Linked DNA regions of Notamacropus eugenii. The protein of the gene in region 1 binds, or shares a complex with, the protein of each later gene. Links are inferred from orthologs where the notes say so. Each region holds a gene or a part of one and is shown on either strand. Other genes may lie near its edges.

Region 1 (7,895 bases):
GAAGATGAGAAGAGGAGTGGGGGTTACCTAGTAGGGTTGTCCTCATGTGCACTTGAAAAACACTGCAATCACAACCCTACACCCCAAAAGACTGTCAGCAACTGGGTGAAGGATTAATTGACTTGGAATAAGAACGGAAGCAAGAAGACCAGTAAGAGTTTATTACAATAGTCCAGGCTGGAGCTGATCAAAGCCTGAACCAGAATGAAGGTGGAAAGGAAGAAAGAGACAGACTATTAGGGAAATCAAATCAATAATATCTGGTAATTAACTGAATGTAATTTGTTCTCCTTGCCTGTAGTTCAAGTGATAAGAGTTCACAGATGTGAAGACATGGGGCGGGGGGAAGAGAAGAAATAAGGTGTTAACACTCAATTCCTCTTCCAAATATGAACACCTCTCTAAATCAGATGAGGTAACTCCACTGAGCTGAAAACTGGCTAGGTTCTTTAAATAGCTAAGCCCTGGAAACAACCAGCAGCTTAAGAGTTCAGCAGTCAAGGCCAGGAACCAGCAATCAAGGAAGAATTTAGATATTCACCTCTTGGGAGAAGGGACTTTTTCTCTTCCCTGCTCCAACAAGCCAAAGAAATTTGTTCAGAGAGACATCCAACAGATAATGGAAAATCAGTTCAAGAAGAGTTTGAGACAGAATTGAGGTGACAAGAGAAATACTTCAGAAACTGATTCAGAAAAGTGGTCACTAATATCCAGAACTACCTTTGTGACTGATCCAGGTCTCAAAGCAAAAGAGAGAAACCAGCTATGGACTGAAGAGGGCTAGCCCTGGCAATCTAGAGTCAAGTTCCAGCTCAAGAAAGAGACAGACCTTAGGAACCACATAAAGCATCCCAGTCAGAAGAGATGCTGTGCTTACGAGGGAGCTTAATGATTCTAAGACTTTGAACAGTGGGGACTAGGAAGATAGTGGTAACATCAACGGAAATACATGCCAGGCTTCTTTCAAAGCTCAGCTCAAAAGCCACCTCCTTCAAAGGAAGCCTATCTTGACCCCCAATGCCTGAAGAAATTAGTTTATACACACACATGTATGTATATATATGTGTGTACATGTGCATATATATGTACGTGTGTGCATATATAAATTTTCTATGTATGTCTTACTTTCCCTAAGAGAAGAGAAAGGTCCTTGAGAAGGATAGAAGTAGTTTTACTCTTTCTTGTCCTACTATCAACTGGAACACTGCCTGACATATTGTAGGAGCCAAATGAATACAAAGGAAAAAAAATCCTCCCTTACTCTAAAGAAGCAAAGGATATGGGACACAGGGAAAATAATAGGAGGAAGATTTTAACTGTGGTATTAGGAAAGGCTTAGAGAACACAAACAGACTTCGAGAGAAGCTAAGGAAAATGTGGGAATGCTTTTCAGCCCTAGAAGAAACCTACAGAGTCTGGTTGGACCGTGTACAGGTTGTACAAAAGGAATAATAGGAACTAAGTCTGTAAAGATAAATTATGGCCAGATAGTGGGAAGTTCTACACTTGCATTTTATCCTAGAAGCCACAGGGAGACCAAGGAACATTTCTCTTCAAAAACTTGATGTGGGTCAGATTTATATAAAGAACTTACTATTTACAATCAGGAAGAAAAGACAGGAGGGAACATCTTCCGTAGGGGTGACTGAAGAAAAGGTACAGGTTCCGACACTCACCATTTCTGCATTCTCGAGTTCTTCCTCCTCATTATACAGCTCTGGCGGGAGGTTATAAATCCGCAAGGTGTTGTCGGCACTGTTGGTCAAGAGGCAGGAGCCATCGGGGGCCCTGGAGGCAGAGGAGATTTAGGCTGGATGCCTGGTAGCGGAGTGAGTGGGGAGGTAGGAACTCCTGAGTCCCTGAAGGAAATGGCAGGCACTGGGTCCTGGGAGAGAACTGAGCAATAAAGACCCAGTTCAACTTAATTCAAAGAAGACAGCCCAGATCCAACACCTCCCTGCCACTACAATCTTGTCCTTTCTCATCCAGTACCCTCCCCGCCATCTAATTCACCCAGAATCTTCCTTCTCCTCCCCCACCATTATCCTTACCATTTACAGCCTTTTAGGAAGTTCTCAGGTTGCAAGCTGAACTCTGACCAGGAGCCATTGAGGAGGCGAGGGGGCTGGGAGAAATTGTAGCTCCAGGAGCTGGAAGGAGATGAAGAGTGGGCGCTAGGCTTCGGGAGGACCAGGGGGAGGGGCAGGACAGCCGCGCTGATACTTAGTTGCCGAAGGAAGCAGGGCTGGGAGGGGAAACAAAGCCTTCCCCGAAGGGAGCAGCCCGCCTCCCAGTCACTTACTAGTACTCCTCGCACTCCGGGGCTGGCTCCTGCAGGACTTCCTCCGCCGGCTCACCAGGCGCGAATTCGGGGGCTGCCCCCTCACCCTCGGGGAGGCCGTCGGTTGGGGCGGGCTCCTGCCCTTCTCCAGCAGTCACCTCCTCCACAGGGGCTTCTGCGTCCGGTCCCGGAGGAGCAGGGGTCTCAGGGTCCCGCTCTTCCCCCAGCTCCATAGAAGGGGTCGGGGGCTCCGCTGGCTCGGGCGCAGCCTGGGGGGCGTCATCGCTGCAGCAGGGGGCGAGTGCTGGCTCCGTGGTTATGGTTATTGGGCCCTGGGAAACCTAGGGAAAAACATGGGCCAGGTGGGCGGCGGGGGGCGCTTAAATGTTTGTGTGCACCGCACCGGGCGCGCGCCCCCACACGCACGCGCACACACAAACAAACCCACGAGGGGAGACGCGGGACGCTCCGAGGCGAGGCCTGCTGGGGGAAGGGACTTGCCTAAGATCACAAAAGTAGTGGCGGCTAGAGCCGGCTTTGTGGTGCGCAATACAGGAGGCCGAGGGGGGCCCGCAGGAGTCGAGGGGCGCCTTGCTCTCCACGGGCTGGTCGGGCCACAGGTCCCGGCTCCCCAGCGCAGCCCAAGCCCAGCGGCCGCCAGCCAGGTCCCCCGGAGTAGCGGGGCGCGAGCCAGAGACGCCGTCTTTCTCTGGCGAGATTTCCGCCGGCCTTCTGATTGGTCCTTAGTTGAGCGGGCTACGGAACGGCCGTAAGACAGGCCTGGACTACAACCCCCATCGATCTCCCAGGACTTCCCCCGCCCCTCCGCCTCCGCGGCCACCCTGCTGCTTGCTGGGAGTGGTAGTTCCTAGTCACGTTAGGCAAGGCGCTCTCCCTTCCGCAGCCCCCCTCCCGCCTCTCACCTCCAGGGGACGCCCTGACTACACACTTAGGCCAGCCGCATGGCAGTGGGTGGGGAGGGCTGAGACTGAGGAGGAGAACGGCCCGCCTCCAGTTACTGTAAGCAGTGGAGGAGGCCGTCAAGTCCAGACTTGACATGCGGCGTGTATGGGTGCAGGAGGGCAGGGGACGGAATGCTGTTGGATGTGAGCGGGAGCCAGTCAGAAAAGGAACAAATGGAGCGGATGGTGCTGCTGTGGAGCAAGAGCTGACCCGGATGGTACCGCGGACCCTGGGCAAGTCACTCACCTCTCTGTGCCTCGGTTTCCTCATCTGTAAAATGGACCAAATGAGCTAACATGGAAAGTGCTTTGTAAGCCTTAAAGCGCTTACAGAAATGCTGCTGCGTTTGTCCTTCGTTCTGGAAGAGGACCATGACGTCCAGGTGATGACATGAGTTGCATTGACCTTGACTGGAGGGAGGGAGGGCTGCGCAGGTCACCAGCCTCACTTCTCCTCCAGAGCCATCTGGATCCAAAGACCAGATAGTCACCAGGATGCCTGGAGATGACCCAGGATGCAAGGGAGACCTTGGCCCTTTCAGGCTAAAGCCTTATCATTAGTTATGTCTGGAAAAAGCAGATAGATCATGGAAGATATCAAATGCTAAAAACACTGGCTGTTGCTTAGTGTTGTCTTCCCTAGAGACGCTGAGGAGTCACTGGAAGGTCTGTGGTGGAGAAAGTGATGTGGTCAGGCCTTTGTCCTAGGCAGACCATTATGGCAGCTTGTGGAGGATGGAATGGATGTGAGGGTACCCCACTGGTAAGTTATTTCAGTACTCAAGTGAGGAGTGATTGGAAAATATAACTAGGATGGTTAAGGATGAGTGAAGAAAGAAGAACAGATGGGAGATATGCCCTAAAAATAGGAATGTCAAGACCTAGTAATTTATTGAACATAATACTGGGGCAATCAGAATGAAGACTTGTCAAGGCTAGAGGATGTATTATGTGTGTGCATGTTACATACACACATATAGACTTGGGAATCATCTGTATAAAAATGATCATTGAACCCACAAGAACTAACTGAATCATCAGTGTATAGGGAGAGAGAAGAGGGCCCAGGATGGAGACTTGAGGGATACCCATATTTAGAGTGCCCATTCACTGACTGCCTATAGCAGGAGTGGAGAACCTGCAGTTTTAACAGAACAAATCCTTTTATTAAAAGGGATTTGTTCTGTGAAGTTTGGATTCAGTCAAAGGGCTGCATCTGAGGACTTTAGAGGGCCACACGTGGTCTCGAGGCTGCAGGTTCCTTACCGCTGGCCTATAGTTTCTAGTATAGAATGCAAATTTAAAGTCTTCCACAGTCTGGCTCTGACCTAATTTTATAGCCTTAGTTTATGCTTCTAGAACCTGTAAACATTCCAGTTTTTGCTGAATTTGCACTCCCACTCTTTCCTTAGCTTCTTTCGAGGTCTGCTCAAATGTCTTTCCTAATCTCAAAATCACCAGCCCCAACTGTTGTGCCTCCCATCAATGATAAATAACAATTTGTTGTCAGCAGATTCTAAGACGGCATAGTAGCTTTCCAGGGTCTTTCTTCTGATGATGATCCAGCAAAGGAGGGGACAGAAGAAGCAATCAGAGGTAGGAGGAGCCCCAGAAGAGTCACAGAAATGCTAAGGCTCTGGAGGGTATGATTATACAATGTCAGAGGCTGTAGAAAGGGTCAGTAGAATGAGGACTGATAAAAGATCATGGGATTTTATTAGTGGTAAGATGGAAATTTACCTTGCAGAAAAAACTTTTAATCGAGTATCAGGGTCAAAATCCAGAATGAAAAGTGAATAAGAAACAAGGGAGTGGGAAAAACAAGTGTAGAAAATTTTTTGTAGGACTTTGTGAAAGGAGGGAGAAATAAAGGCAGGATAATAATGATAGGGTCAAGTGAAGGGTTGCTTGTTTTTTAGTGTTTGTTCGTCCTTGGTTGCTGAAGAAGACCATGCCACCAGAGAAGTAATGACATGACTTGCCCTTGATTTTGTTTTGAGGGAGGGAGGGCTGTGCAGGTCACCAGTCTCACTTCTCCTCCAGAGTCATCTGAATCCAGTGACCAGATATTCATCAGGATAACTGGAGATGACCCAGGATGAGGAAATTGGGATTAAGTGATTTGCCCAAGGTCACACAGCTAGTGAGTGTCAAGTGTCTGAGTGAGATTTGAACTCAGGTCCTCCTGACTCCTGCACTGGTGCTCTATCCACTGTACCACCTAGCTGCCCTTGTTTGTTTTTTAATGATGAGAGAGATACATGCTCATGTTTGCAGGCAATGGGAAGGAAGTATTGACTCCTGATAACTCAAGATTGAAGAAGAGAGAGGGGGAATGATTAAAGAGTAAAATTACAGAAGAAGAGGAAAGGGGATAAACAAGAGTACAAAAGTAGAGGTCATGGCAGGGTAAGGTTCTCTTCCTTACAGACTCAATCTCTCTTTATCCACTAGTTTCTTCCCTCCTACCTACAGACATGTCCAGATCTCTCCTATCTTTAAGAAGCATTTACTTGATCCTACAAATCTCCTCAATGTAACCCTTGAAAGTAAAACTCGTAAACAAAGGTTAGGGGTGGGAGGGTCTATATTTTTTTTAATATTTTGATAACTGTATTTCATCAGAATTGGTTTCAATTGTAATCCCATATATTTTATCTTATACATTTATAAACCCTATTTTAAGAAGGGGTTCATGATGCAAAAAAGCTTAAGGACCTGATCCTGGAAAAAGCTGTCTATTGCTTCTATTTTATCACACACACCCCCCCACTCACTTTTCACCCTTTTATGATCTGACTTCTAAACTCAACTGTATATACTCTCTCCAAGATCACTCATGATAACTGTGTCCCTAAATCTACTTTTTCTCAGTTCTCATACTTCTTGACATGGCTGTTGATCAGTCCCTCCTTTTAGATGTTCTCTGCTCCCTCCTCCGTTTCCTTTATATGATCATGCTTCACCCTTCACATGCAGGTATACCTCAAGACTCTCCCTTGCTCATCCTTTCTGTATATTCTCTCTTATTCTTGTTAGTTCTTATGAGTTCAACTATTATCTCTATTCAGATGACTATCAAATCTATATATCCAGGTCCCATCTGTCTCCTAAATCCCAGGCCTGCATCTCTAACTACCTGCTCAACATCTCCACCTAAGATGTACCATAAGCATTTCAAACAGAACATCCAAAAGTGAACTCATCTTTTTTCCCTTAAGCCTTCCCCTTCCCCTAACTTCTGTTGAGGACTCCACCAGGTTTACAACTTAGGATTGCTGACTATGCATTCTCACTCATCCCTTCACAAGTTTTTTTCAACTTTAACCCTACAGTATGTTTCATATCCATTCCCCTCTCTCCACTTACCACAACTACTCTTGTTCAGTTTCTCATCACCTCTTGCTTAGACCATCAAGAGCCTCCTAAGTGGTCCCCCTGAATCCAGGCTCTCATCTCTCCGAACCTATCATCAGCACAGCTTCTGAATTGATATTATTAATGTACAGACCTAATTATTTCTCTTGGTTAGGCAGTGCCTTCACATTGCTGCTAAGAAGAAATAGAAAATCACATATTGGGTAATTAATCCACAATTGCCAGGGCTCCTGCCTGTCTTTCTTTTTTTAAGTTTTGCTTTATCTCATATTTTAAGAAACTACTTTTCTCCCTTCCAGTTCCTCCTAAACATAACAAATATGCATAATGAAGCAAAACAAGTTCTCATATTGGCCACGTCCAAAAAAATGTATGTCTCATTCTGGATTCAAAATCTATCATGTCTCTGGCAAGAAGTGCAAAGCTTGCTTCATCTTAGGTCCTCAGGAAATGTGATTTGTCATTTCATTGACAAGAGTTCTAAAGTCTTTCAGAGTTGTTTTTCTTTATAACATTATCATTGTGCACATTGTACTCTACTTCTGCTCATTTCACTCTGCATCAGATCACAGAAGTATAATCCGTTCCCTCTGAAATTGTCCATTTAATCATTTCTTATGGTGCAATAAATATTCCATTACACTCATGTACCATAATACATTTTAGCCATTACCCAATAGGTGGGTCCTCCCAGAGTTTCTAGTTTCTAGCTAGTACAAAAAGAGCTGCTATAAATATTTATATATTTATATATATGCATATATGTATGTGTATACATATATGTATATATATGCTTTTTGCCTTTTGTCTATGATCTCATAGGGCAAAAGTCTAGTAGTGGTATTTTTTTCATATAAATTGATTTATTTTCAGTTTTCAACATTCTGAGTAGTGGTATTACTGGGTCAAAGGCTAGTAACTTTGGAAGAATAGTTCTAAGTTGCTTTCTACTATGGCTAGACCAATTTATAGCTCCATCAACTATATGTTCTTTCAAAAAGTCCCTGCAAACATTTGTCATTTTCTTCTTTCTCCATCTTTGCCAATACTACTGGTATGAGGTGGAACCTTGTGGTTTCTTTCATTTGCATTTCTCTATTGACAGCACTGATAAATACACCATTTTCATGTTCACGAACTCTGAAATTCCCTTATCTGCTCACAAACCATTGTCATTCTATCTCTTTCTCTGCCTTAAAACCCCAAACCTTGTTTTTCCTCACCATAACCTCCAGTCCCTCATCCCCTGTACTAGCTATTCCTTCTCCATTTTG
Region 2 (6,879 bases), on another chromosome or scaffold:
CTTGTTTGCCACTGCTTTGGCGATACAAGGAAAATCTCAGGATAACAAACTCCACTTGACCAAATTACAACTTGTTTTGTCATTTGGAGAGCACTTTCCTAGGTGCTGTGTGGCCAGGAGTCCAAGGGCTATGAGCCTAATGTCAGACAAGCGTTAGTCCTCCCCCTCCCCCTCCCTGCTGTGTTAAGGGTATTGTGTAGAGTAAACAGGTATGTTTGGCAATGTTTCAGGTGCACAGAGATGAGAATCACCACAGGGTAATTGCTGCTCAGTGAGAAGCACAAGAGTCATGAAGCTCTCACTGCACACAGCTCCCTCTCTCCCTCTCTTCCTGAAGTAGTAACAGCAGATAAACAGGTACATTTACTGAGCAACTGACCCCCAATCAGGGATTGGAGAAAAAATGTCGTACCTGCTGGTTAAGCAGAATTCCTTGCCCACCATATTAGTTCAGGTGTCAAGTCATAGGCAGTCTGCATGGACATACTTCTGTTATAAAGCCTTGTCATGCCCTTTGCCATATAATAGGATTTTATCTGCAAATTGCCCCAGACAGTACTAAAGCAAACCCCCCCACACCCCCCAAACAGGAAGGATTATATTACTTCCAATATGTTACTTATTTTAAGAGTTTTAATATAAGTGGGCAGAAGGTTTGAACCCAAGGTAATGAAAAGTCACTACTTGGCAAAACAGCTTACCTGATATAGTCTGTAATTTCTCTCTTGAGAGGGTTAGATCCAGAAGGAAGGGGAGTATAGTGGGTTGTCCTTACATTTAGTTTATCGAAGTTCTAAAAAGTGATGACAGGACACAAATCAAACTCAATTAGCAAGCAAATTCTCAATTTTTTGACTTACCCTTTTCTAAGAGACCCAGAGTTAAGACCAACTGGTCCCACACATGGAAAATCCAATGAATCAACAAAACCACCAATCTACACCAGGAACCAATTCACCAAAATCATTTTTCTGAGCTATCACACTGCAGATAGCAGAAGGCATGGGCCTCTCGAATGGACTTCTTTTGGTTTGAGAACTTTATATTTCTGCTTGAGCACTGTGGGATTTACTAAATATTTAAGTTTCAAAATTCTAATATTCTTACCTACAGTACTGATTCCCAAAATGAAATATAAGGAATCAGAGTATTTAAATGAAATGCTTTAAATAACAGATACAACTTGTGCTATGTGATTCTGATGGGGGGGAAGGGAGACTGTATATTGTCAAAATTATGCTGCCCCCCACTGAGGATACAGATATGGATACTGCCTCTTTGGGCAGGCTTTCTGAACAACTCAGCACAAGGAACAAAATGCTTCTTTAGCTAATAGGTGAGAAGTCTTATAGCATAAAGAACAATTCAATTAGACAATACACATCTTCAAGTTTTTGTTTAAATAACAAAACAAAAATCTGCCTGTATAATTTTATAGAAGACACGAAAAACTGGCAACAGATCTATAAACAGGACTTTTTTTGTAAAATGCATAAACCACATTTACCATGCACTAGAATTTACAGGTATACAGAACTCAGTTTACAAAATGAACTAGTTGAGATTGTGCACCAAAACTGATTTAATCAATTAAACCCCAACCAATATAAAATCACAAGGCAATTATTTGATGTATAACGTTTACATATTCCTTACCTTTAGCAGTAAGGGCCACTGAGATGTGTCCAACTGAATTACTTTAGATTCAGGTTTGATGAAGAATTCCCCTTCATGTTGTAGATCCTAAGGCAGGATGAAAAAGTCCAATGACCTCAATTTCATAGATTACAGGCATTTCCTCTAAGTGCAGGCAGGCCAGAAAATACAAAGCCTAACAACTGATCCTAACCCTTTCGGATGATTGTGGCTCCCAAAAAACGGTACACAGAACCAAGCAGAAACACAAAGAAACAAAATATGAAAAACACTGGCCAGTTGTGTTCCAATACTCCAGAGAAAAGGCAGAAAGGACTGCAGAGTGCATGTGGCAAACAGTACTTGGTGAATACTGTCTTGGAATCCTGAGAGCAGGCTAGAGGAGTGACTCCCAGAATACAAATGTGGGTGCTCTCCTAGCTCAAAAGAGCACACCATCCGGGTTCTTTCTTTTCTAAACATGGCCCAATCCTACAGTTCCCAAGAAGAAATGGGGAATTACCAATACTGGCAAGGAAAAAGCATCGTGTACTCACAGCGACATCGTCTTCTCCCAACACTCTGCGCTCCTTTTTTTTCTTGTGCTTCTTGGATACAATGACAACTTAAAAAAAAAAACCAAAAGATGTCTGTGAAGTTGGGGCTCGTGGGTGCCCAGGCCCGTGATCAGGCTGCTTCTCCAGGACTCCCACACGTGCTTCCTTCCCCAGGGTCACCACGTGGCCCGTTCACAGGTTGGGCAGGGGCACGGGCATCGGCAGCAACCCCCGTCCGCGGCACCACCCGCAGCTAAGGGGCAGCTTCCGGGGGCTGCCAGGACATGCTGTGCCTCCCCTACCCCAACCTCGGGGGCCCGCACGCGCCCGCCCACTAGGAATAACGGTTAAAGCGCCCGGGCCGAGCCGCCCTCCGGGAGCGCCCCGGATCGAGTCGAGCCACCCTCCGGGAGCGCCCCGGGCCGGGCCGGGCCGAGCCGAGCCGAGCCGAGCCGCCCTCCCCGAGCGCCCCGGGTCGAGCCGAGCCGAGCCGCCGCACGCAGGCGGGGACCGCGCGCCAGGTTCGGGCCCTGCCCGGGCCAACGGCGCTCAGGCCCCGCACCCCCCGCGCGCTGGGCCCTGCGTGAGCCGCTCTCGCCGGACGCCGCGACGTACAGATCCGGGAGGCCGCAAAGGAGCGGAGGCCCTTTCTTACCTTCGCCGTCCGCCATGTTGGTGGCCACAACCAGGGGCCTCCGGCCCGCGTGCTCTAGCCCAGCGCAGAAGGGAACGACTGAAGGCAGCCCGCTTCCGTCCCGTGAGGCAGTGCGGTCCCAGAGCCGGCCTCCTTTAACGTCAGAGTGACGCGTAGCGTCCCAGGGCGCCCGTTGGCTGACCAGAGGCTGAGGGCGGTGCCCCGTAGCGGTCTTCGTGTGTCTGATTGGCTGCCAGAGCAGAGGCGGGCCCGCGGGGCGAGGGGCGCCGCGCCCGGGAGAGCGGATGGGCGGGGGGCGAGCGGAAGCGCGAACCGCCCCGGCCCTGCCCGGCCTAACCTGGTCCGCCGTTGTGACCCCGGCCTAGTCGCGTCGTGCCTCTGCGCCTCACTTTCCTCAGCTGTAAAATAACCGGCCTCGCCACTCGGCCCTCATTCTTATGAGCTGCGCCCACGCCCGGAAGGCCTGGCATCCGGCCCTTTCCCGTGCCAGCCTCTGGTTGCAGACCTCCAGGCTGGGTGGGCAGCGCCGTGTGACAGCCGTGCCCCTCCCCGTCCTGGCCGCTCTCGAGGACCCCACGGAGCCCACAGATGCTGCTGATCACAGCTGCAACCCACCCCTTCCCCCAAATTGGTTGGCATTCGCCTTTTTTAAGGCCCTTGCTATATGCTTGTGTTGGGGATATAAAGGCAAACCCCCAGATCTGGCTTATTCTCAAGATCTTAGTTTCTCCCAAATTCCGAAAGGAAACAAATGACGAAATACAAAAGAATTGGAGGGGGAGAGAGAGCACTTTCCGTTGAGGTGGGGGAAAATCAAAGAAAGAGCCACAGAGGATGCGGCACTTGAACTGTGCCTTGATGTCCCCCAGATGAAGCTGTTACAGTTCAGGCATGGGGTATACATATGTATGGCCTGAATGATGAAGTCAGGGAGGTGGTACATTATAGGAAACAACCAAGACTACAGTTGAGCTAAAATGGGAATAATGGGAAAGACTAGAAAAGATAGCTTGGAGCCAGATTATGGAGGACCTTAAAAGCCACACCAAGGGGTTTGAATTTTGGCCTAGAGGCAACAGCAAGGCATTGAAGAATTTGGAACTGCTGTATGATGGGTCTCAGGAAGATTATTCAGGGAGTTGTTGGAAAGATGGATTTGAGTGAGAAGAGACCAGCTAAAAGACTGTTGTGGCATGTGGTTCAAGAAAGAGGTGAGGGCCTGGACTCGGGTTTGGGGCATGTGAGTGAAGCAAAGGAGACAAACGCAAGAGATGAGGGGAAGCTAGAATTGACAGGACTTCATCACAGCTTAGAAATTGAGGGGAAGAGGGTATGAGAGAGATCTAGAAGAATCAAAGATAACTATAAAATTTGGAACTTAATTAAATGGAAAGACAATGAACGGAAATGGGGAGATATCTATTAGGGAGTTGGAAATACACCACTGAAATTCAGGGGAGATATGAGATCTAGATATATGGATTTTGGAGGCAACTATGTAGAGATGATCAAGTCTTCAAGAGACAGTATAGAGAGAAAAGAGAAGCAGGCCCAGGACAGAGCCTGGTAGGGAGGCTAGACACAGTATTAATGACACTTAGAATTAAATGAATATACATTGTAAGGAAAAAGTTGATGGGGGTATAGAAATTAACTGACAAGAAGGGCAAAGGTACAGGAGTAAAGAGACAAAGATCACTAAGGTCATGAGTGGGTGGGTGGGTGAAGGTGCTTTCTAGGTAAGAAACTTTTAGCCAAGACCAATCAATTTAATTCCTCCTTAGTTTTGACCCCAGAAATCCTCCAGCAGAAGCAATAACTTCTGAGACTGTCCCTTCTGAGACAGGTTACATGGCACTTACATGGTATCCCTCTTCAGAAGCACTGGGAATTTTGGGACTTACACCTGGCATAAGGAACCAAACATCTGAATTCTAGACTTCACTGTTCAAAGGCCAGCCTTCTCTCTGTTAAATGAGAACTCCCTCACCTTTATCACTCCAAGAATAAACAAGTATTATCTAACTCCATTTTACAGAGAAACAGTGTGACTCTCACACACTAGCAAGTTAAAGTATCAGGTTTCCTGATTCTAAGCCCTCCAGGCTTTCCACCATACCATGTGGCTGGCCTCCCATGCTTCTACAGAGAACAGCAACTTAGTATTCAAAATGTTGCTCATTCTTCTTTGGATTGACTTCAGAGTAACATTTCCTGTATGTATCACCTTCAAGCAAAGCCCTCAAATCATTTCAGCAAATATTTACAAAGCCCTAGCACCTGCTACTGTTGTTGTGGTGGTGGTGGTGGTGGTGGTGTTTGTCCTTCGTTCTCAAAGAGGACCATGACATCAAGATGATGACATGACTTGCAGTTGACTTTGATTTGAGTGAGAGAGGGTTGTGCAAGGTCACCAACCTCACTTTCTTCTCCTGAGCCATCTGGGTCCAGTGGCCTGATAGTCATCAGGATGACTGGAGATGGCCCAGAATGCACTGGGAGACCCTGGCCCTTTCAGGCTAAGGTTCCTATAGCATTCTCACTTTGAGTAAGATACACCCATTCAATGAATAGGCTTCTTTAAGTAGCTGCTCAAGGGATGGCCCTTGATCATCAAAAATTAAAAAAAAAAAATCAAACTGGGAGAAGACCTTCAGGGTTCCTGGGTAAAAGAGAAACAATTATTATTTAGCAGAAACAATTACATGTGCCAAGAACTCAAGCAAGCCCTACATCTTATTATTATTATTATTATTATTATTATTATTATTATTATTATTATTATTATTAAAGCTTCAGGGTACCCTCTTGGAACTGTTAGTTCTTAGAACTGAATCCCTGAAACTGTATCTTCTTCTCCCATGCTTGAACTCTATACATTTTCACAGTATAACAAGGAAACTGTTCTGGTGTGTGTGTGTATATGCGTGTATGAGAGAGAGAGAGAGAGAGAGAGAGAGAGAGAAAGAGAGAGAGAGAGAGAGAGAGAGAGAGAGAGAGAGAGAGAGAGAGAGAGTGTGTGTGTGAGAGAGAGAGAGAGAGAGAGTGTGAGAGAGAGAGATCTTACAAGTCCACTTCGTCTTCCATTCCCCAACTAATCCAGTTCCCATGGCTCCAGCCTTTTCTTTCTCTGCCCTGTCTTTTGTCTCTTTTTAAATCCCTAGTGCTTAGCACCATAGTAGGAAGAGCTTGCTAAATGTTCTTTGATTGATCAGTTGATTGTTGAAGGGTTGAGGATGCCTTTGAGGTTATGAACCTGGGTTCTGAAAGGATAATAGAGAAATAAAGATGTTAGGAGGAATGGTAAGCTGAAGGGGAGAAATGAGTTCTTTTCTGGACATGTTTGATATGCTTATGGTCCAATAAGATGTAACAAGCAATTGGTAATATGGGCCTATTTCTTGGAAAATGAAAGAGAGCTGAATGTGTAGATTTGGGAGTCAGCTACAGAGATGATAGTTGGACCCATGGGAGCTGATGAAATCACTGAGAGTATAGCTAGCTGATATAAGAGAAGAGGGGCCCAGGATGGAGATCTAGTGCACATCTACATATAGATCAGATTCCAGCAAAGGAATGTGAGGAGACTAGAGGTCTGTATCACAAAAACCCAGGGCAGAGAGAATATTCAGGAGGAGAGGGCTAGTCCAGAGACAGGAAAAAGGATGAGGCCTAAGAGAAGGCCCTTGGATATAGTAACTAAGAGATTGTTGATGAAGCCAAGAGAACAGTTTCTGTGCAGGGGTGATAATAGAAGCCAGATTGGAAAAGGTAGAAAAATGAGTGGGAGGTAAAGATGTGGAGGTAGTCACTGAAGACCACTTTTTCTAAGAGTTTGGCTGTGAAAGAGAAAAGATTCCTGGAGGGGATAGTAGGACCAAATGAAAGTTTGGTTTGGTTTGGTTTTGTCTTAAAGAATAGGGGAGATCTGGCTATGCTCCTGGGAGGTAAGAAAGGAGCCAGTGAATAAACAGATATCGTGGATTAAAGAGAGGGAGTGGCAAATTCCTCGAGGATACGGGAACAATTCCT

The links. The genes of interacting proteins can lie anywhere in the genome.
Region 2: WRAP53 (region 1) and DKC1 share a complex: the UniProt entries of both Homo sapiens proteins name them as parts of the telomerase holoenzyme complex. The link is inferred for Notamacropus eugenii from reciprocal best matches to the Homo sapiens genes WRAP53 and DKC1.

Annotation. Positions count from the first base shown.
Region 1 is NC_092873.1:78,282,009-78,289,903, forward strand, and holds the start of WRAP53 (telomerase Cajal body protein 1), read right to left. Parts: upstream 3,005-7,895; 5' UTR 2,783-3,004; exon of another isoform or gene 2,623-2,782; 5' UTR 2,515-2,622; coding exon 2,303-2,514; intron 2,151-2,302; coding exon 2,052-2,150; intron 1,789-2,051; coding exon 1,677-1,788; intron 1-1,676. UniProt on the Homo sapiens protein: RNA chaperone that plays a key role in telomere maintenance and RNA localization to Cajal bodies. Specifically recognizes and binds the Cajal body box (CAB box) present in both small Cajal body RNAs (scaRNAs) and telomerase RNA template component (TERC).
Region 2 is NC_092879.1:10,721,302-10,728,180, reverse strand, and holds the start of DKC1 (H/ACA ribonucleoprotein complex subunit DKC1), read right to left. Parts: upstream 3,004-6,879; 5' UTR 2,864-3,003; coding exon 2,848-2,863; intron 2,261-2,847; coding exon 2,193-2,260; intron 1,744-2,192; coding exon 1,657-1,743; intron 794-1,656; coding exon 702-793; intron 1-701.